Oryctolagus cuniculus: one gene and its partners. The protein of the gene in region 3 purifies or fractionates together with the protein of the main gene of each other region. This does not show direct contact. Links are inferred from orthologs where the notes say so. Each region holds a gene or a part of one and is shown on either strand. Other genes may lie near its edges.

Region 1 (7,279 bases), on a different chromosome or scaffold from region 3:
GCAAGGCTGCCATCCACGTGGGAAACCCAGATGGAGTCCCTGGCTCCTGACTTCGGCCTGGCCCAGACCCAGCTCTTGTGGGCATTTGGGGAGTAATCCAGAAGGAAGATTATCTTTCTCTCTTTCAAATAAATAAAAAAAAACTTTTTACATTATGTAAGCATTAGCTAAATATAAATACTCATTCAACAAACATTCATGGAGTTTCTGCTACGTGCAAGAGACCTTGCTGAGTGCTAAATGCAGAGGACAACCACACAGGGCAATATGCCAGAATTTCTGTTTTTGAACAAGTTTCACTCAAATAGATGCGAACAGAAAGAGATCACAGTGTCGAAGGTAAGTTACACGGAAGAGCAGGAGAACTGCGCAGAGCCCCATCAGGGACATTCTCCACCCAAGCTGCTTTCAGGAGAGAAATGGGTTCCCTTAGCTTCCCAACGATACCAAGTCAGTCCTAAATTAGAGCCAACATGAGCCATTTGTCTTTGACTTACTCACTGCAATAAGGCTATAGATTTTTTCTAAAGACCCCAGTGAATGCTGGAAATCCTCCAAAGGAATTAGATACTTTTGTTTTTCTGAGTTTCTGCCAGTGGTCCAAACCAAAAAAGCCAAATGGAGCTGTTGGCGCGCCCGTTCCGTACTAACTGCCAACTCGTCTCTGGGAACACAGCGCCCTTCTATTTCAAAGAGGCCCCTCAGCAACTTGTTCCACGTCAATCAATGGCTGAATTAAGAAAGGATGTCAGATTCAAGTGTTTCAGATCCAAGTCCAAAAACAAGACCAACTTCTCTTCTACCAAAAATAGGATTTAATAACTTCATGTGAAAAGCTTTTTAAGAACTTACCTCAAATTCTTCCCAAAAGCCTTGCTTGACTTTATCTGTGGTCTCGGCCAGTTTGCTCAGTTCTCGAACACGGCTCTCTATTTCAGCTGCGTTTATACGGGTTGTATTGAGGGGCTGATCAAGTTCAGCAGTAGGTGTAAAATGAAGAAAATATAATGTTAATATATAAAGAAAGCCTGCAGGCAAGGACAGGCCTCTCGGGATGCGGTATGCCACAATAAAATTCTCAAATTCAGGGGCAGGCGTTCGGCCACTTAGGACACCTGTCTCCCACATCAGAGTTCTAGTCCTGGTTCTACCTCTGATCCTAGCTCCCCACTTATGCACAGCCTGGGAGGCAGAGGTGAGGGCCCAAGTACTCGGGTCCCTGCCACCAACATGGGAAACCCAAACTGAGTTCCAGGCTCTGGCCTGGCCCAGTCCTGACTGTTGTGGCCATTTGGGAAGGGAATCAGCAGATAGAAGCCTTCTCTCTGTCTATCTCTGACTCTCTTTCAAATAAAATGAAAATAAATAATAATAATTTATTTAAGTTTTCAAATGCAGTTTCACCTTCTCTTCTGTGCTGCTAGGAAACGAAACTTTCTTCAATTCCACACACACATTACTCTGCTGATAAAAATTCAATCCTATTTTTCTTTATAAATAGACCACAACATTATTTTGAAAAATTCTATCATCTGCCACTGTCATAAGGGTGAACTCCGAAATAGCAACAACTTTAATGTCCATGTGGTCACCTAACAACAACCAGAGTGGATCCATGCTGAAAGCTTCCTCTAAAGCCATCAGGCTCTTCACAGACACCAGTGGAATTCCACAACATCTGGACTTGGTTTCCAGACACCACGGAGGTGGCCAGTGAACACAGCATACAGAAGGAAGGACTAAAGAATCAGTTACAATTGAGGCTGAAGAACGAGCACATGGACGTTGACAGCGCTACTCTGTCTACCCCTGTAAGTTCGGAAAACTCTAAATTGGGGTTTCAAAACTTTAAAAGGAGAAGGAGCTGTAGCTTTCTGAGCCACTTACCTGCTTGAGTTGCAGCACTGTGCCCAAGGTTTCTACCATAGGATTTTTCTTGTAATGTTCCACCAGATCTGTCAGAGAATCAAACCGCTCTCCTCCACCAACATCGTATTTCAGTTCCTTTCAAGACAAAAAGACGGCATGTATTACCTTTGTGTTTAACTATTGTGCTTCCTGCATTCCTGTGTTCGCGGCAGCAATATCTACAATAGATGGGATACAGAAACAACCTACACGTCCAGCAACGGATCAGATGAATAAAAATGGGGGAGGGGGGAGTGCTATGGGACAGAAAGCTAAGCTTCTGCCTGTGGTGTTGGCATCCCATAGGGGTGCTGGTTCAAGTACTAGCTGCTCTTCTTCCGATCCAGCTCTCTGCTATAGCCTGTGAAAGCAGTGAAAGATGGCCCAAGTGCTTGGACCCCTTCACTCACACAGGAGATCCGGAAGAAGCTCCTGGCTTCAGATCGACCCAGCTGCAGCCACTGCAGCCATTTGGGGAGTAAACCAGTGGATGGAAGACCTTTCTCTCTCTCTCTCTCTGTAACTCTACCTCTCAAATAATAAATAAATCTTTATTTTAAAATGTGGTGTGTGTATGTATATGTGTGCATGCACAAACACTGGAAAATTATTCGGCCATAAAAGGGGGGAGGGGGAGCAAATCTTGACATGTGTGACAACATTATACTTGCAGACATTACATAAGTGTAAAAGGCCAGGAAAGAAAGGCAAACACTTCATGAGCTCACTCACAACTGGAAGCTAAAAACACACCCATGGTGACACAGAGCAGAACAGTGGTCACCAGGGGCTGGGGCAAGGGGCGGGGCTGGCCAGAGTGCACAGCTTTCAGTAGGATGCGGAAGCGCAGGGGCCACAGTCAGTAAAAACGTCTTGTCAGACTGGACTTTGCTAGAAGAGTAGATCTCAAGCATTCCCATCATGGGGGGAGAGGGGGTTGTTAGGCATGATTTAATCTGCCAGAGATAACCTGGAAGTAAATAACTCAAAAGAGTTTTGAAATCCTGAAACAGTTATAATCAACATACCACAAGTGCAGAAGCCCTTGACTAAGCGCAGAAACGCTGACCTGGGCCGCACAGCATCTGTCTCCTCGCAGGTGAAAACCCCCCAGGGTGACAGTTTGCAGCCCTGCAGGCCGGGCGGAGCATTACCTGACAGCGAATCATGACGTGGGTCACCTTGGACTTGCCGTCATTGCTCTCCACCTTGTCGTCGCCAGTGCGGACGGAGAGAACAAAATCTCCAGGGTGGCTCTGGCTCTCGCGGACCAGGAAGCTGCCATGTTTTCCTTTCTCAGTCAATAATTTCTCTGCTTCTTTCCCAGAGAGGTGCCCGTGAAACCACCTGGTTTTAAGAATGAAAACAAATTGAGTTCCACTGCCAGTTCACAACATTCTTTTCTAAAACTACCGTAAACACTCCAGTCATTGCTAACGTTTCCTGCAGAGTAAAACCCCAGGTGAGGACCACTGCCTCATTCATTCACAAGCAAAATTCATAGCCTCACCACATTTTCCCTACTCAAGACAGTATGCCACTGGATTAACTGGCTTGCTCTTGCAATTTCGTATGATATTTTGCAGATCCTATCTATGATTTCATATGATCGTCCACACGTATGTTCTGGATACAAAGCATCCTTCTCATCACTGAAATGATTTTTTTTTTTTTTTTGACAGGCAGAGTGGACAGTGAGAGACAGAGAGACAGAGAGACAGAGAGAAAGGTCTTCCTTTGCCGTTGGTTCACCCTCCAATGGCCGCCGCGGCTGGCGCGCTGCAGCCAGTGCACCGCGCTGATCCAAAAGCAGGAGCCAGGTGCTTCCTCCTGGTCTCCCATGGGGTGCAGGGCCCAAGCACTTGGGCCATCCTCCACTGTCCTCCCGGGCCACAGCAGAGAGCTGGCCTGGAAGAGGGGCTACCGGGACAGAATCCGGCGCCCTGACCGGGACTAGAACCCGGTGTGCCGGCGCCGCAAGGCGGAGGATTAGTCTACTGAGCCACGGCACCGGCCAGTCTGAAATGATTTTTAAGCATGGCACATGGCACTGTATGGCAGATTATATAGAAAGTTTATATAAATTTCAAGGAAATAGCAATCAATCAATAAATAAATAAACAAAAAACTACCATATATAGTCAGCTCTCCTAAGACAATTACGAATTAGTCCCGGCAAGGGACTCATCAATCTCACATAAGACAGAATTTGCAGTCCAGGAAGACGGGAAAATGACAAAAATGTTACAATGACCACTCGACTTTTTAAAAGAGCCCACAGTCATTTGGAGACAAATGTCTTCCAGTTTTTCAATTAAATCTCTCATTTAAAAAAAAAAAAAAGATTTATTTATTTATTTGAAAGTCAGAGTTACACAGAGAGAGGAGAGGCAGAGAGAGAGAGAGAGAGAGAGAGAGAGAGGTCTTCCATCTGATGGTTCACTTCCCAAATGGCCACAATAGCCAGAGCTGCGCCCATATGAAGCCAGGAGCCAGAAGCCTCTATCAAGTTTCCCACTTGGGTACAGGGGCCCAAGGACCTGGACCATCTTCTACTGCTTCCCCAGGACATAGCAGAGAGCTGGATCAGAAGAGGAGCAGCCGGAGGCCGGCGCCGCGGCTCACTAGGCTAATCCTCCGCCTTGCGGCGCCGGCACACCGGGTTCTAGTCCCGGTTGGGGCGCCGGATTCTGTCCCGGTTGCCCCTCTTCCAGGCCAGCTCTCTGCTGTGGCCAGGGAGTGCAGTGGAGGATGGCCCAGGTGCTTGGGCCCTGCACCCCATGGGAGACCAGGAGAAGCACCTGGCTCCTGCCATCGGATCAGCGCGGTGCGCCGGCCGCGGCGGCCATTGGAGGGTGAACCAACGGCAAAGGAAGACCTTTCTCTCTGTCTCTCTCTCACTGTCCACTCTGCCTGTCAAAAAATAAAAAAATAAATAAATAAATAAAATTAAAAAAAGAAGAGGAGCAGCCGGGACCAGAATCGGCGCCCTTATGGGATGCTGGCGCTTCAGGCCAGGGCGTTAACCTGCTGGGCCACAGTACCGGCCCCAAATCTCTCATTTTTTAAAAACGCAATTTGCCCTTTTTGATTGCCCACTCTTAAAAGACCAATTTTTCTATCATAGCCACATAAGGAAGTTCTAATAAAACACTGCAGGGGCAGGCATTTGGCAGAGCAGTAGGAACACCACTTGGCACAGCAGTAGGAACACCACTTGGCACAGCAATAGGAACACCACTTGGGATGCCTGCACCCATATCAAAGTATCCGGGTCTGAGTCCTAGCTCCACTTCAATTCCACCTTCCTGCTAATGCACACCCTGGGAGGCAGTCGGTGATCACTCAAGAAGTGGAGTCTCGGGGCTGGCCTGAAGCGCCGGCATCCCATAAGGGCACCGGTTAGAGACCTGGCTGCTCTACTTCCAATCCAGCTCTCTGCTATGGCCTGGGAAAGCAGCAGAAAATGGCCCAAGTCCTTGGGTCCCGGCACCCATGTAGGAGACAAGGAAGAAGCTTCTGGCTCCTGGCTTCGGATGGGCACAGCTCTGGCCATTGTGTCCAATTGGGGAGTGAACCATCAGATGGAGGACTCTCTCTCTCTCTCTCTCTCTCTGCTTCTCCTTCTCTCTCTGTGTAACTCTGATTTTCAAATAAATAAATAAAACTTTAAAAAAAATGTGAATTCTCACATCCCATACTCAGAGTCATCAATTAATACATTTAAGTCCGAATGGACCCAAAAATCTAGAGGCTTAACCAGCAGGCCACAGAGTCCTGACGTAGGCCGCCAAAGGTCACTCAAGGACAGACTTTGAGCTAACACTGCTCTAAGTTGTTGTGGGAAGCATCGTCACATAGCCACGTAGGCAGTGGGCCTTTTCCCTCAGGACCTCAGTAGGAAAGCAAGCATGACTGAGGCGGGTTATGCTAACCGTCCATCACTAAAGGAAAGGTCTCTGAGTTCTTTCTCATCCACACTCAACTGGAAAGAGTGCAGCGTAGAAACGAACTGCAGAGCTGGCCGACAGCCTCTGCATGGAAGCTGCAGGGGGAGTCAGAAACAAATTATTGGCACATGAACAGCACTGATGTAATGATGTAAAGCTGGAAAAAAAAAAAAAAACCCACACCTGCCGATACAGACAGACAAACCTCAGTAGCAGACCCTGCACCTGTGCTGAATCAGAGGCGGCCGGGGATGCAGAAACCCAGTACGAGACGTGCAAGTCGGCCAGGCCCCAGCTTGCATCACTTGGTTCCCACACCAGGGGAAGATCTCCAACATAATGCAGTTCCCGTTAAATAAGGGCCCTCCCACATTCGTGAATATAACATGAAAAGAACGGATGACAAAGCTGGCCCTCCAAGTTCTCTCTGCCTTTCCACTTCCAGGCTTCAACTGACATCTGCTGGTGGACTGCTGAGTAACTACTGGTCAGGAGCCGCCCAGAGAGCTGTTGCAATCCTGGTGTCTCCATTACCATTTGTCTTCCTCTCAATACCCTCAAAGGTTTTCAACTGAAGTGCAACAAAGCTTAGAAGTACTGCAGGTGCCACGTATGTACAGGAACAGCGTGAGACCCCGCAAAGTGAGTCCAAGGAACGCTTTATCAAGCTTCTGCAAGGCAAGGCCAATCTGAGAATAACTTGATACTACTCTTCTTACTTTAGTAACATTTTCACTGAGAAACAGACACCAGCTTTGGAGTCGGTAAGTCACACACAACTCACCACACTGCACTTGCATGACACGCATGGCACAGGAGTGACACAGAGTCTGTGTCCCAAAAACGTCACTGACCGTTCAGAGGTAGGATCTGCACAGTTCAGAGGGTACTTGAGCTCAATCACATCTCCATTCTTCTCCTTCAGCTGCCCATGGTGTTCCATGTAATACTGAACCAGCTCAGCCAAAGTGGCAAACTTCTCCCCTCCATAGAGGTCATAATAATCACCAGTGTTCTGAATCTTGATGTGGGTGACAGCTCCATTTCTTCTAAAATAGTCCATTGGAAAGGAAGGGAGAAACAAAGAGTTAGACTAGTAAAAACATATCTCACGTTCAATATCAGACTTCACCCAAATGTTGAGATGAACCCAAGGAAAGAATGGATTTCCTCCTTCGCTGTAACAAATGCAATGGGCAAAATGGCCACACAGTCCACTGTCTCCATATGAAAGGCTTTGCTCTTTAGTTTCTGTACCTTGTAAATCTTCTACTTCGAATGATCGACCTATCAAAGTGACAATAATTATTCTCATCAGTATTCAAGGACACACTACAGTAACAAATCTACCTGTTTCGTTCCTCAAACTCATGCCAACATTCAAATCCCAAAACCTTCTTATGTTAATGGTTAACAGATCA
Region 2 (6,942 bases), on a different chromosome or scaffold from region 3:
CGCGGGCCCGGAAGTGTGGCCTGTCCACATTGCTGCAGCTGCATCTGGAGACCCCTGGAGGTGGGGCTTCTGGTGAAGACAATCACCTTTCACCTCTTGGTCCCCACTCTCCTTGCAGGTGGACATGTGGAACTGGATGAGGAGGTACCAGTCAGCGACCCAACGGGCACCCCTCCACTGGGTGTGGGCTGAGGACAGGGGGAGCAAAAGGCATTGGCCGCCTGACCCGCCCTCTCTCCTACTCCCAGCTGCTGGATGGAGGACTCCGAGAGCTCTGGGAGGAGACTGGACTGCGGCTGGCACAGGGCCAGTTCTCTTGGGTCCCTCTGGGACTATGGGAGGTGAGCCAGGGACCTGGGGACCATCCTTTCCCACTTAACCAAGAGACCTCAGCAAACACTCTGCTACCACCACGGCCACTGCCGCCACCAGCAGCAAGTCCGCAGACGCTGCCTTAGCCACAGAGGAAGTGGGAGAGGCCCAAACCCTCACCTGTGTCCCTGGTGCACCGTGTCTACCATCCACTTCCTCAGCTGTGGGCCCACCCCAGAGCTGTACTTACTAAGTCTCAGAATCAGAGACAGGAAGCCCTCTCTTTTGCCTTTCTTCTCAGTCTGCCTACCCGCCTAGGCTGAGCTGGGGTTTCCCCAAATACCATCACATTGTTCTCTATCTACTCGTCATCTCCCAGGAGTCACAGCAGCAGCTGCAGGTAAGGCTGGCTAGGGAGGAAGGAAATGGGGCTCAGGGGATCACAGGGGGCGGGGCAGAGACACCAAGAGCATCCAGTAGTTCCTCCCCTGTCTTTAAGCATTCCGCTTGCAAGTAGGCTAGTATCAAGGACAGGCCTCCCAGGGAGAAGCCGGGACTGAGGGGTCCTGTCTGACCCTAGGCCAGGATCCAACCAAACCCAAGTGAAGTGAGTGCTTTTATGTGGCTGGGACCAGATATCGCAGCTGCAGTGGCTGCCACGGAGGATGGGACAGAAGCACCCAGAATCCTCCCCGCGGACCTACCACTCTCTGTGGGGTAAGAACTTTTCCCTGAGCTCTACCCACCCCACCACCCCATTGATTTTCTGAGAATTAAGAAACCACATGAGATCAAGGACTCCAGCTGCCTAGCACGGAGGTCCAGAGTTTGACTCAAAGCTCTCCCATGGGAGCCAGTCCCTTAACCCTCCTTGAACATGCTTCCTTTTTGTAAAATGAGGTTCACAGCTAGCCACCCACCTGCTACAGTAGTTGAGAGTAGATGACCTAACATATGAAAGCCCAACAAGGCAAAGCCCAGACAGGAGCTGTCCCCATGCAGAGCAATGGAACTAGAGGAGGGCAGGGCCCGAGCCGTGGCGCTCCCCACATCCACGCTGCTGCGGAACACCCCCCCTACCGCAGAGGACAACCCGGAGAGAGTCAGCTCTGGCACCAAGTTTGCCCTCGGGCTCTGGCTACAGCAGCTGGGCCGGTAAAGGTGAGGAATGGGAGGGTTCTGTGGTGCTGGGCTGGAGTGGTCTGGTGGTGGTCTGGGCGGGGGCACGGGAGGGTTCTGTGGCACTGTGGAGTGCTCTGGTGGTGTTCGGGGTGGGGGGGCATGAGAGGGTTCTGTGGCGCTGGGCTCCAGTGGTCTGGTGGTGTTATGGGCGGGGGCGCGAGGGAAAACCGACTACTCTGGGAAGTCCTCAGTGTGGCAAGCGTGGACCCAGGTCGCAAAGGAAGAACAGAACGTGGACCCTCCTCCCCTACCCCAGCGCTCTGGAAAGGGAAGTGGGTAATCCCCTCCAGAGCCCACCTCCACGACGCTCACAGAACATTCACAACCTTTATTATGGGTGAGAAACCTGCTACAACTTTGGGAATACAAAGTAAAATTGCAACACGTATGCTGGGCCCTGGAGGGGCCCGACAAAGGAGGGCACGTGGGTCCCCCCACTTCCCAGGAAAGGTGCAGAATAAGCCAGGCCTGACTACAGGGCCACGGGCCTCTAGACGCTTAGGCCCCAGGCTAGTCAGCTTAAGAAACACTGTGAACTTAAATATATAAATAGAGACCCAGGCAAGAGGCTAGGCCCTGCTCCCAAACCCCTGGGGATCGCGGCTAAGGCCTCATCTCCTCAGTTATACTGGGAAGTAGGAGGTTGGGAAAGTCATCTTTGGAGTATTTTGGTTTTTCTTGTTTATGTACAAAATATCTGCAACCCAAAATAGAGTTCTCTGTCCATCTCTGAAATCGCCTGTCTCAGTTTCTCCATCTCATCTGCATGGCCAAAGGGAGCGGAATAGACAAGAAGAAACAATGAAAGTTTGGGTTTGGGGGATGGGAAGAGAGGGCCCCTCTGCCAAGAGGCTCTAGACAGAGTAGAGGCCAGGGGTTCAGCCCCTCCCCCCGACTCACACCCCCTCCTGTTGGCCTAGGTACCCAAAGGAATGTGCAGCCATCTGAAGACTATTTCCAAAAATAGACCCCTCCATGTCCTTGAAGAGGTTAAATATTAACCCTTTGGGTGCTGGCCTTGTCAAGCAAAGATGAGGCCACCAGTAGGTCTCCAGGAAAAGTCAGGCCTGACCTCTGACCACAGTCCCCAGAAAGGTCAGGCGGCCACAGCATACCTGCTGCGGGGTGGGGGGCAGCACAGGCTCCACAGTCCAAGGGACTCAGTCCAGGGAGATGATGTCAGACCGGCAGCCAGTCAGGGAGGGCCCTGAGGGCAGCGGGCCTCCGTGCCCCTCCCTCAAAGCCCCCCCGGGGGCCACAATGCTGCTGACCCGGCCAGGAGGAGTCGCTGGAGTGGAGCTGCGGTGTGAGCTCCCCAACGAGGGGGCCAGTGGGCCCAGGAAGTGGGAGGGGGTCCCTCGGTACTGGAAGAAGTGGCCAAGGGCATCCTGCTCATCCAGAGAGGTGATGACAGAGGGGCCGTAGTGCTGGGAGGGATCAAGGGCACAGTGTCAGACTTTACCCCTACTCAGCCCCGCCTCCTGGTCACAGGGTCCAGAACTGTTATGGGGACCCTAAGGTGTTCCCTGGGAGGCAAGAAGCCTCTCTCTGACTCTTCCCCCTGCCTCCCTGCCACGCCACCCCTTTTCCAGGCCTTGACACAGCCCTTCTGGGTTGCTAGGTTCTTGGCCTTTGTGGGTGTCTGAAATATGTGGACTGTCCAGTTGGGGCAGGTCTGGTGCTCTTAAGCATACACAGGTTGCGGGGGGGGGGGGGGGGGGGCAGGGCCAGAAGCTCACCAGAATCCCTCGGGACAGAACAGTAAGGGATCCAGGAAGATCTAAGTGGCAATCTGAGGAAGTACCAGTGCTGCCCGCACCCCACCTCCCCTGAGAAAAGCGGATCCGGGTCTCTGTGTGGGCCCCAATCAGAGCTGCACGGGAGAAGGGACCACGTACCTGACTCTCCGTCTGAAGGAAAGAAAATAAGTCTAAACCTGGGAGGAAAGGGAAAATACAAATCACCCTCCTGTCCCACCCTCTTAGCACCAAGACAGGCAAGTCTTTGGGATTCCGGCCCCTGGTGAGCAGCAAGGGCTCTGCTGGGCTCGGGGGAGTGGGTAGCAGGGTCGTACCTTGTATGTCGGCCCCCAGGGGGAAGGCAGGTGGGTACTCGTGCAGTGGGAGACTGGACAGGAAATCCCCGCCCAGTGTGCCCATAGCAGGGCTGCGCAGCACCGAAGACGGCTGATGGCCAGACGTCAGGACCCTGCGAGTGGAGAGAAGGAGCTGGGGCAGCCGGCGAACCCCAGATGCCCCACCCCGCCCAGCTCCCCAAGGGTCCTCTCTGTCCCCATTGCCTTTCCCTTGGCCCCAGGTTTGCCCGGTGAGCAGAGAGCACTACTGACTTCTGCTGTGCCCTCCCTAGTGCGGAGTCAGCCTACTTTCTCATACCCTTTGCTTCCCGGCAGGGCTGGGATGGCAGCCGAGGTGACAGGACAGTGCTTCTTGGTGGGAGGCAGATCCTCCTCATCTGAGGAGCTCTCTATTGTCAAGTCAATCACTTCCACCTTCTTCTTATTCTCTGCTGGAGCTCCCTCTTGGACTGGGCTGTACTGGGGGCCTGCAAGTGGTGAGAAGACTGTGTCTCAGAGAAAAGGCCAGCCAAGGTCTAGCTCATCTGGGGGACAGGGGGTCACTCACCATCCAGCCCATACCCTGGCGGGGGGCAAACCTCAGACGCCTCCTTCTTGGGCTTCATTGGGCACCAGGAGCCATCTTCCATGAACTGGATCTCATCACAGTCCGAACAGGAATTTAGAATCTCCATGAATAAACTGTGGGAGGGAAGAGGTGGAAATTCATGGGGCTGGGAATTGAGTGCCACAGTGGCCAGAGAGATGCAGGACTCACCTTCCTGGGCAATAGAGGGATCCTGTCCAAACTACGGGACCTCCTGGAGTTGTTGCAATCAAATAAGAGCTTTACAAACTGTATGTTTTAAAGTGAACACAAGCTGAGCCCTAGCTATGCATGGTCTAGGAACAAGACAGAAGCAGAGAGGCAGAACTCCACCAACCACCCCCAAAAAGGCACTGGGACCAAGAACCATACATAGGCTCAGGACAGGGCCCGAGACCAGCCAGATCAGCATCCCCAGGCCCTCAGGAGGACCTCACCGCCTCCTTAGTGGGAGGTCAGGGAGTCGTTACGAGCGATACACTGGCCTCTGCTGCTAACAGTGCAGCCTTGAGTAAGAATCTCCAAGCCTGAGTTACCCCCTCTGTAATGAAGTACCTACCTCACAGGGTTATGAGGAAGATCTAGTGCAATAATGCATGCAAAGTGCTTAGCATCAAGATGCCTTATCTATACTAAGTCCTTAATGTCACCACATATGTGGAGTAGTAGAGGGACACGGTGAGACGTGGGGTTCTCCTGGTGAGGAGAAATAAGCCATATGTACTAAAGGGGGTCTGGGGCAGGTGTTTGGCCTGGTGGTGAAGATGCCTGCAGCCCCTATCACAGTGTCTGAGTTCAGCTCCTGGCTCTGGCTCCCAGTTCCAGCTTCCTGCCATTGCAGATCCCGGGAGGCAGCAAATGATGGCTCAAGAAGTTAGGTCCCCTCCCTCTAGCTGGGAGATCTGGGTTGAGTTCCCAACTCCCAGCTTCAGCCTGGCCCACCAGCCCCAGCTGTTGGGGGCATTTTGGGGGAGCAAACCAGCAAATGAGAGCTGTCTTGCTGTCTGTCTCTCTGGCTCTCACATAAAGGTAAAACAAGGCGAGGTAGAGGAGATAGCCTAGGTAAAAGGAAGCAGAGTGGCCCTACCCATCAATGATAAGAGATTCATAGGGTGCCTTCTTGTCACACACAGGACATGTCCACGTTGGCTTCTTCTCATTCATCTGCAGATAAAGGGCAGCATCGAAGCTCTGCAGGTGGGCGCAGGTGAGGGCGCGACAAGGAACAGTGAGGCGCATTTTGCCGAGCTGCGGAGAGCAGTTCTCCAGTCAGAGGCCCCACTCTGGAATCTGCAGGGACCCCCCTCCTGAGTCCAGAGGATTAGCCCCACTCCCTCCCTTGTCCCTTATCCCCCGGTACCCACCGGGCACATGAGTGATACCCGGAGACTCGTGGTAGCCACCTCACTGTCAGGGTCAGCGGTCAATTTCTCCTTGACTGAAACAACAGTGAGGGCAGAATCATGGGGTCAGCAAGGCTGGGAGAGACCCAGGAGTTGGTGAGGCCAGAAGCAGATGGCTCTGGCTGAGAGGCAGCTGGGTAGAGTCTTTGGGGGCCCATGGGATGTCACATGGGGTTGGTCTGGAATCTGTATTACGAAGGCTGGACGCTGGGAGGATTTCTACATCCCTAAAGGTGCTTAATCATAGCTAGGTGACCTTTGGCTGTGTTAGAAAGGATCTAGAAGGAACTGAACATCATGTGAGGTGAGATTAGTTGATCCCCAACACTTTCCAGTTCAGAGAATCCATATTCTAGCAGGGCTGGAGTTGGGCTCTGTGAGGTGCAAAGCAGATGTATGACTGGGAATGCACTGGAGTTGGCCAACTTCTCAACCTCGAAGACTGGAAGGAGAAGGGATGAGGTTCATGAAAGCAAAGTTGTCAGAGATGGGGAATGGGTTTGGTTATGAAAGCTAGAGGACCAGGAAGATTTGACTGTAGATCAGAGGGAGAAAGGGAAGGATGCTACTCACTCAGTGCCCGGGAATGGTCTGGGTTCCGGATACCCTTTGCTCTGAGTTTTTGTAGAAGGGTCCCTGCAGTCAACTGCCTCACCAGGTACACAGACAAGGAGTAATTCTACTTGGAGGTGGGAGGGACACAATTAGCCTGGACTTCTTAGACCACCATCACCCCCATTTGTCCCAGGAGGGCCAGAGACAGTGGGTTAATGGCAGAGAGACCCGTAAGAGGAGGATATTTCCCCAACCCAGGGCACTAGATGGTTCCCCTTTACCCACTGCAGGCTTTGCCAGACACCTGCTTCAGCTGTGCTCACCCGTCCAAACTCAGATGACCAATTGACCACGATGGTGTTGGGAACAGTGGCTGAGAGTCGAGCCAGGGGTGTGATGTTGATTGGGCGGCTGGGCCTCTTGGGCTCAGCCCCATTTTTGGTGGGGGGAAGGTAGCCCTGAGGAAGGGAGGGACCGGTCAGTGGAGAAGGGGCTCTGGGAAGGGGCTCTGCTCTAACAATAAAAAGCATCTTGGCGGGTTACTCACTCCCTGGAGGGAAGGCCAGCCCACTCACTGCCCAAAGGGCTGGGGGCCCATTCACAAAACTGGGGCACTGTCTAGGGTTGTGTGTGGGGTTCACTCCTGGGGAGAAAGAAGAGCTTATTTATTGATCAAGGAAACAGGCACCCACTCACTAAGGCCCAGGGGGACAGGAGCACCTCACTTCTTCCAGCTCTGAGCTCTGGGGAAATAACTTGTAAGAAGTCTTCCCTGAATCATTATTCTTCCTCTGGGTTCTGCCAGAACT
Region 3 (7,279 bases):
TCCAAAGCCAAGGGCGTTCCTCCTGTCCCCATCAGCATCAGCCTGCCTCGCCCACACGCTGGAGGAGGGCACTGCGGACGTCCCAGCTGCATAAATCTATCAAGCAAACAGCAGCTTCCCTACTCAGGGGAGAGGTCTTCTGGTGCAACTGGCTCAGCCAGCAAACTAGCAGGCGAGGCCTGGGCTCGTCTTCAGCGGCTAAGAGACCCAGGACAATGGAATCTGTATCTGTCTTTCTCTCTCTCTCTCTAGCATAAAATAAGAGGGGAAAGAGAGGCGCTGACTACCTGTGGGCCCTGCCATTGATGGTACTTGTTCTATAGTTTAAAAAGTGAGGACTTGAATAACTGAATCATGGATGCTGACTGCCTACGCGGCGTGAACTCTGGGGAGGTACGGAGGATAAAGCATTTAGGAAGCACAGGACGCGATGGGGTGGGCAAGAGAAGGAATCGTATAGCGGGGGGCTCACGGAGGGGCTCAGGGAAACAGGGACCAGGCGCAGAGGCTGGTCTGAGAGGCCTGCAAGGTGGCCACTCGCGTTCATTTTGGCTCAAGAAACTGAATACTTCAGAGAGGATGGCAGAGGGTAAGGCAGGTTCTGGGGTCTTACAGAGCAGGCCTGAGGGGAGCTGATGCCCTAGATGGAAAGGGGTTTAACTCCCTACGAGCCAGACAGCTGAGAAGGGACAGCAGACACAAGGATGAGCGGCAGCCTCTGGGGGCTCCGCACAAGGCTGGAGTATCTCCAAGTGGCTCAGAATCCCTCCCTCCAGCCAAGGGGACACCGTGTGGGCTCACGGTGGAAAGGGAGGAGAAAGGACCGGGAAAGACCCATCTCTGAGACTCTCACACGTAACATGCGTGCAGGCCCCCCCCTCCGCCCAACGGCAATGCACACAGCAAGACCCTCGGCGCACCCTGGCAAGGGAGACACGGCCCCAGACCCGCAGCTGGGATCCTGCAGCCGACCTTAGTGCACAGGCCCGGCGCTTGGGCCAAGGGCAGTGCGAGAGGGAACAAAGGGAGCGTGAGAGGGGCTGATAGACCCGACTCCCAACTGAAGCGCAAGGTGGGGAGAGAGATAAGCAGAGACAGGAAGTCAGAGTTAAACCCTCCACTGCCTAGCGAAACTCCACACCAGAACAAAGGGAAAGCCAACCGTCGGCGAGCTCAAACCCCTCTTCCCCGCCCCCAGAAGTCCCTCGGAGGGAGCGCCTATGAAAAAGCGTGTGTGAGATCTGGACAAAACCAGTTTGCTTTTTTAAAGAAACTACTCATGCAGGGAAAACCAGCTCCAAAGGAGCGCGTTAAAGAGCCCACCGCTGGCTCCATGAGTAAGAAAAGCCAAATAAGAACCAAGACTCGGGACAGGCGTTCGCTTAGCCTAATGGTTAAGCCGGTGCCGGCTGACACGCCTGCGTCCCACACGGTGGAACGGGCTCGGAGTCCGGGCTAACGCAGACCCGGGAGGCGGCAGTGATGGCTCAGGTAACGCGTGAGCCTTTGCTAAGGCCCCTGCAGGTATCTGGGGAGTGAATCAACAGATGGGGGCACTCTGTCTCTCAAAGAAGGAAGGAAGGAAATTCAATTTTAGAAAAGGGAAAGAAGAATGCAAGCCAGAGGCTGCTCCTCAGGACAGGTGCGGGGACAGCCAGCCAGAGTTGGAGTGGCAAGCGTGTGATGGACGCAGACAGGAGGGCTCCCCCTACCCACGGTTCACACCAAGGACCCAGGGGCCACAGGTGTAACGTATCTCTTCCTCTCCCTCTGTCACTGTCTTTCAAATAAATAAATCTTTAAAAACTGATTTTAATAGCCGCACATCCTACATGCGAATCCCACACCCCTCGCACCGGCTGCCTTCACCCCTGCGAGCCCTCCTCCGCGGTGCTCCCTGCTCTGGCACCGCCAGGCCCGTGTCCTCCAGGAAGCTTTGCAGTCCTCCTGCCACTGCTCCGGTGCTTTGCGGGGCTCAGGTCTCCGTCCCGGCCCTGCTGGCACCCCCAACACAGGAAGCACCGTGCTAGCTGGGCATCCAGTCCTCTCACGTTTCGTGGGCAGGGGTGACCTATTTCCCCATTCAGACTGGGGTGCTCCCTGTGGGGCAGGGGCTGGCCACCCGGAGTCCACTCTTCTCTCAAATCACATCGGCCACGGCCAGCAGCGCCTGGCGAGCTCCTCCCCAGGAGGAGAACGAGGGTCTCCCAGGTTATTCCGCCAAGGACCCCGCAACCTGCAGCTCCTCCCAAGAAGGAGGACGGGAACGTGGAAAATCAACAACTACCTGGGTCAGCTTCAGGGTGCTCCTGGCTCTCCGGCCGACAGTACTTTCCGAACGCCTCCTCCTTAGGAATGTCGGGGTAGAGATAGACGAGTGGAGACACCAGGATGTTGGTGGCGTCCATGATCTTATAGCCCATGATGATCTCAGCAAACGACATGTTGTTCAGCTGCTGCTTGGTGTACGGCTCCACCGACTGGATCTGGGTCTTCCCTGTCGCACGAGGTGGGAAGGAGAGGTGCTGGCACCTGCGGCTAGGCGTACTCCCACAGCATACTCCCCCCAGGCGTGTCTCCTTGGTGGGGACAGACCTATGGCAGGCCAGCGCTCGCGCCCCTGAATACCCCTCCCTGTGGCCTGGCACTGTGGAAAGGGCCAGGATGACTATGACAGAGACTATCATTTTGGCCATAGGCAACAGACCGGAGTAAGATGTGTTAGTGAGGGTAGGCAAGAAAGAGGATGAAGAATAAAAAATTTCAACTGCAAATTTCTTGGAACACACTGCTCACTGGAACAAGCGAAACAGACTGGCAAGTCAATCTTTCAGACGCAGGAGTTCAAAGGTGGCCGCACCTGTCTGCGTGGGGCAGGGGAGTGTGAGGCCATCTCTGCCCGCCAGAGGGCAGCAGTGCTCAGAACCAGCCCCGCCGCGAGGGAGCAGCAGAGCTCACTTACCACTGATGTCCTTCTCCACCCACGTGAAGGTGACACCTCCCTCTTTGCTGCTTTCGCTGAATCTCAGTAGGAAGGTGCCTGGGGGCTTGGTGCTCAGGATGGCCCGCTCCCGCTCCTTGCTGATAAAGCCCATTATGTACCTGGAGCCGGAGAGGAGGACAGCATTGCTGGGGCTCCAGGCCATTGGTCCCGGGCCTTGGGGCTGAGAGGCAGGTGACTTGGCTACCCCGGGCGCTCTCTGCTCAACCTACCCTTCATTCCAAAGGGCCAGGATATACTTTTTCACAAGGTCAATGATGTTGTCCAGCCAGACCCAGAAGGAAAAGCCCTTGCCAGCCATGTTTTCCTGAAGAAAATAATGGGGAAATCAAGTCCATCGCCACCCCAGCCTTTTCTCCCTGGGGCAGAGGGCACTGCCCAAAAATACCTCCTTAGGTCCCCTGCCCTCAAGGAGGTCCTAGAAGCCACTGGACCAGAAGTCACTGGCCTGAAGGCCCAGCAAGCACTATGCCCATCTTTTAGGGACGCGCTCCCATGCTCACTCCCAAGAGACAACAGCAAGGAGTAAAACGGTTGCTTACTTTGCAAAATTTAGCCCATGTGATCTGACACCCTGAATAGTTCACACCAGGTCCTGAAGGGACAAAGAAGAAAAGTAGCAAATGTTCAGCTCTGAGTCAACACCTTACTTCTTAGCACACACACTTGGCCCGTAACAGGCCATGGAGCTACTGGCTGTCACGTGTCTGCAGGCTGCCACTGCCATTCGTGTCCACGCACACACGCACATGCACACACCCTCTCCCATCCCTTGGCCCTCCAGGGCTGCTGTGCAGCTGGGCAGAGGTAGCGGATGATGGGGAGCAGCAGCACACACCATCAAGCTGACAGAGTTGATGGCAGCACCAAAGTTATCCATAGTCCAGGTGACACACAGAGCATTCTAGAAACTTTCTCCAGGGGAGAAAAACTTCAAACTAGGCTACAGTTTATCGAAGAAATGGACAGAAAACATCAGGTCTTCAGCACCACCTTCTGAGAAACACATTAAATATCCTAAAAGGATGGGGCAGGCACTCAGTGTAGTGGTTGACTCACCACTTGCACCCCATTATCAGAGTGCCAAGTTCAAGTACCAGTTACTCTGCTTCTGATCCAGCTTCCTGCTAGCACACACCCTGAGAGGGAGCAGGAAATAGTTCAAGTACTTGGGTCCCTGCCACCTTCGTGGGAAACATGGATTGAGTTCTGAGTGCCTGGCCTTGGTCTAGCCCAGCCATGGTTATTGCAGGCATTTGGGGAGTGACCCGGTGGACAGAAGATCTCAATCTCTCTGTGCCTTTCAAATGAAATAATTGTTTTACAAGTTTATTTAAAAAAATTTTATAAGGTTGGACAAGATATTATCCTCAAAGGGCAGGAAAGACAGCAACCAGAGGAGAAAAACGGAAAAATCTCCCTCCCACCTCATAGAAGCGAGCGGCAGGTCCCTGCACCCCGACGCCCAACCTCACGGAGCAAAAGCTTCCTGCCCGAGCACAGTGCCTTGCTCAGGGCACACCGACTGCAGGAGAGCCCCCCGGGCCAGATTCCTCGTCTGAGGAGGGCAGGGGAAGAAGAGGTGACAGCGAACCTAGGAGTTTCTCGGCCAGCGTGGTCAGCTGCTCGATGCTCAGCCCCCGCTTCGTGGTGGAGGAGAACTGCCAGCTCAGCACCTCGGCCACTTGATCCCAGGTCCCGATCGGAGGCTTGGTGAAGAAGTTCACGTTCTGTGAAGACACCGCGGTCGCCGTTCAGACGAGGGCGTGGTGCCAGTGACCGGTGCTGGGTCCTTACCGGCGAGCCCCGGGCACCGACCTTGGGGTTGTTGGTCAGCATGTTGTACCACAGGATGGACGCCCAGGCGTTCGGCATCTGGCAGATGTTGGAGATCACCACCACGGGCAGGGAGTGGGTCTGCACAAAGTGGGGCAAGGAGTTGGGGGGTCACTGCGGCTGCCACAGCTTCCAGAGGCTGCACCCCCTCCTCACAGGCAGGGTTTGGCATACAAGGATGCGCCAGGAGGCACACCCGCTGCCAGCTCTGGCGCGGAGCGGCGCCAAGTCAGCACAACACTCCGAGGGGAGGGGACAGAATGCTGGGCAAGGCCTCGGGACGCAGGCTGCCGTCTGCACACACCCAGAAGCTCGGAAGTCACCCCCGGCTCACAGGCCGCCAAGTCCCCATTAACACCGGAAGGCATTCTCCAAAAAGTAAAGCCGCCTCTTCCCACGAAACAGCGAGGTGGGAGAAACCGCACACAGGGATTCCTGCTTTCCCAGGCCTCTGCCATGTTCCTCTGCACACTGGGACCTCCCGTATCACGTGTGTGTGCGTATTCTGAGCTCTCAGGACGCCATGCTCAAGCGGGCCACCAGGAATGTTTCAGAGAACCGAACCCCCAGCAGGGCGCTTCGCAAACGGCGACCACTGCCGCTCAGCTGGTCACGACCCCACAGCGGGGCTCTGTCCCGAGCCAGCCCTGCACAGCGTGCGGCTCACCTCCAGGTCAATCTTGAGGCCTTGGTGGTACACCTCAGTCTCAAAGGTGATCAGGTGCAGCTCCTCCGTCACAATCAGGGAGGCCTGCAGGAACAACAAGTGCACCCTGTGTCCCGCTGAGGGCAGAGTCCCGGCCTCGCGACTCGGAGCTGGGCAAGGCGCCAGGTGGCCACGCACAGACGGCCTGGGACCCGGCTCAGCGTGTGTGCCCTCCTCAATGCTAAGAGCGGGACCCGACTTTCCACTCTGTTTTGGTTCTGGTATCACACAGATCCGACGGTTATTTATAAAACGTGTATGGCACAAAGAATAACAAAACCGCGAGCTCCTGTGCGCCCACCCCCCCACCCCCCTTCAGGAAGAGACCACAGCCCCTGAGATTCTCAGCAGGCCCGTCCCTCCTCCCTCGGAAGTAGCGGCTGTCGTCCTAGCTGTTCTTAGTGTGTCTATCTGTTTCCCTAGACAGCATCTGTAAGCTTCCTTTGAGGTGTCTGGGAGCCCTGTACACGTGGAGTCTACCCCGTGTGTTCTTCTGTGCCTCAGGTCACCCACGGAGGGGTCCCTGTGGCTGTGTGCATCTGCCGCTCACTCCTGTTCAGGCTGAGCAGCGTGTGTGAGTGTAGTGCTGATGGCCGTTCGTCTGGGTCACGTTCAGAGCGCACAGGCAGGCAGCTGAGGCTCTGTGGTACCCCCTGTGCCGTCTCAGGATCTGCACTGCTGCCGTACGGCTATTCCCAAAGAGACTGGGAGAATGTCTACTCCTGCCAGCGCTGCAGCAACATTTTTGCAACAAGAGTACTAATGAATTCTCAGAAAAAGAATTCCAAATCATGTGAAAATATGCTTTTTCTGATTGTAAAAGTAAGACACTTTGTCTAAAAGGCAAATAACTAAGATGGTACAAATAATAAGATGGCACAGAGCAGCCTCAGATTCAGCAACACTGATATACAGGCACCATTTGGTGTATATTTCTCTAGAATGTTACATACACACATAATCATATTTTTAAGCAAACATACTATTACATTACTCAAATTATTTTACATTCTGCTTTTTCTAAATAAATATGCCACACACATTAAGAATGGCTTAGTGGGGGCCGGTGCTGTGGTGTAGCGGGTAAAGCTGCCGCCTGCAGTGCCAGCATCCCATATGGTCGCCAGTTCAAGTCCCTACTGCTCTACTTCTGATCTAGCTCTCTGCTATGATTTGGGAAAGCAGTAGAAAATGGCCCAAGTCCTTGGGCCCCTGCACCCATGTGGGAGACCTGGAAGAAGCTCCTGGCTCCTGGCTTCAGATCAGCGCAGCTCCGGCCATTTCGGCCAATTGGGGAGTAAACCAGCAGATGGAAGACCTCTCTCTCTCTCTCTCTCTCTCTGCCTCTCCTTCTCTGTGTTAACTCTTTCAAGTAAAATAAATAAATCTTAAAAAAAAAAAAAAAAGAATGGCTTAGTGGACAAACATCAGAAAAAGCACAAGATATTCTAAGTTTTAAAAATCACTACAAACTAGTTTTAGCGCTGTTTACCTAATTTTTAAAAAGTGTACTGTTGACATCAAGAATCCAATAGTCTGGATCAATGGCAGGCAGAAGTAAGTCAGAAGGGAGAGAACAGAACAAGTTGTGCTCTTCTTTTTTCTAATTTTAACTCCGATGTACGTGTGAGGTTCACACCCTCTCTCCCACCCTCAGTGAGAAAAACAGGTCGCTGTGGCGCAGCCAGCTGGCAGCAGCTGGAAGGGGATTCGCAGAGCCCCCGCCCACGTGGGGC

Evidence for each region. Proteins that work in one complex are often made in the same cells at the same time.
Region 1: the proteins of STAT3 (region 3) and PTPN11 purify together in Homo sapiens (affinity purification with western blotting; 3 studies listed by BioGRID). This does not show direct contact. The link is inferred for Oryctolagus cuniculus from reciprocal best matches to the Homo sapiens genes STAT3 and PTPN11.
Region 2: the proteins of STAT3 (region 3) and PIAS3 purify together in Homo sapiens (affinity purification with western blotting; 5 studies listed by BioGRID). This does not show direct contact. The link is inferred for Oryctolagus cuniculus from reciprocal best matches to the Homo sapiens genes STAT3 and PIAS3.

What each region holds. Positions count from the first base shown.
Region 1 is NC_091452.1:9,755,301-9,762,579, reverse strand, and holds part of PTPN11 (tyrosine-protein phosphatase non-receptor type 11), read right to left. Parts: intron 6,908-7,279; coding exon 6,713-6,907; intron 3,256-6,712; coding exon 3,063-3,255; intron 2,005-3,062; coding exon 1,888-2,004; intron 967-1,887; coding exon 853-966; intron 1-852. UniProt on the Homo sapiens protein: Acts downstream of various receptor and cytoplasmic protein tyrosine kinases to participate in the signal transduction from the cell surface to the nucleus. Positively regulates MAPK signal transduction pathway. Dephosphorylates GAB1, ARHGAP35 and EGFR.
Region 2 is NC_091438.1:49,036,436-49,043,377, reverse strand, and holds the end of PIAS3 (E3 SUMO-protein ligase PIAS3), read right to left. Parts: intron 6,592-6,942; coding exon 6,457-6,591; intron 6,258-6,456; coding exon 6,152-6,257; intron 5,614-6,151; coding exon 5,540-5,613; intron 5,424-5,539; coding exon 5,263-5,423; intron 4,271-5,262; coding exon 4,137-4,270; intron 4,057-4,136; coding exon 3,888-4,056; intron 3,703-3,887; coding exon 3,569-3,702; intron 3,431-3,568; coding exon 3,393-3,430; intron 2,922-3,392; coding exon 2,655-2,921; 3' UTR 2,257-2,654; coding exon of another isoform or gene 2,239-2,256; 3' UTR 1,808-2,238; downstream 1-1,807. Other genes in the region: NUDT17 (nucleoside diphosphate-linked moiety X motif 17), read left to right, coding at 119-144, 249-341, 614-712, 893-1,029, 1,315-1,471. UniProt on the Homo sapiens protein: Functions as an E3-type small ubiquitin-like modifier (SUMO) ligase, stabilizing the interaction between UBE2I and the substrate, and as a SUMO-tethering factor.
Region 3 is NC_091448.1:20,491,922-20,499,200, reverse strand, and holds part of STAT3 (signal transducer and activator of transcription 3), read right to left. Parts: intron 5,589-7,279; coding exon 5,505-5,588; intron 4,919-5,504; coding exon 4,820-4,918; intron 4,732-4,819; coding exon 4,596-4,731; intron 3,597-4,595; coding exon 3,544-3,596; intron 3,309-3,543; coding exon 3,214-3,308; intron 3,103-3,213; coding exon 2,963-3,102; intron 2,498-2,962; coding exon 2,285-2,497; intron 1-2,284. UniProt on the Homo sapiens protein: Signal transducer and transcription activator that mediates cellular responses to interleukins, KITLG/SCF, LEP and other growth factors. Once activated, recruits coactivators, such as NCOA1 or MED1, to the promoter region of the target gene.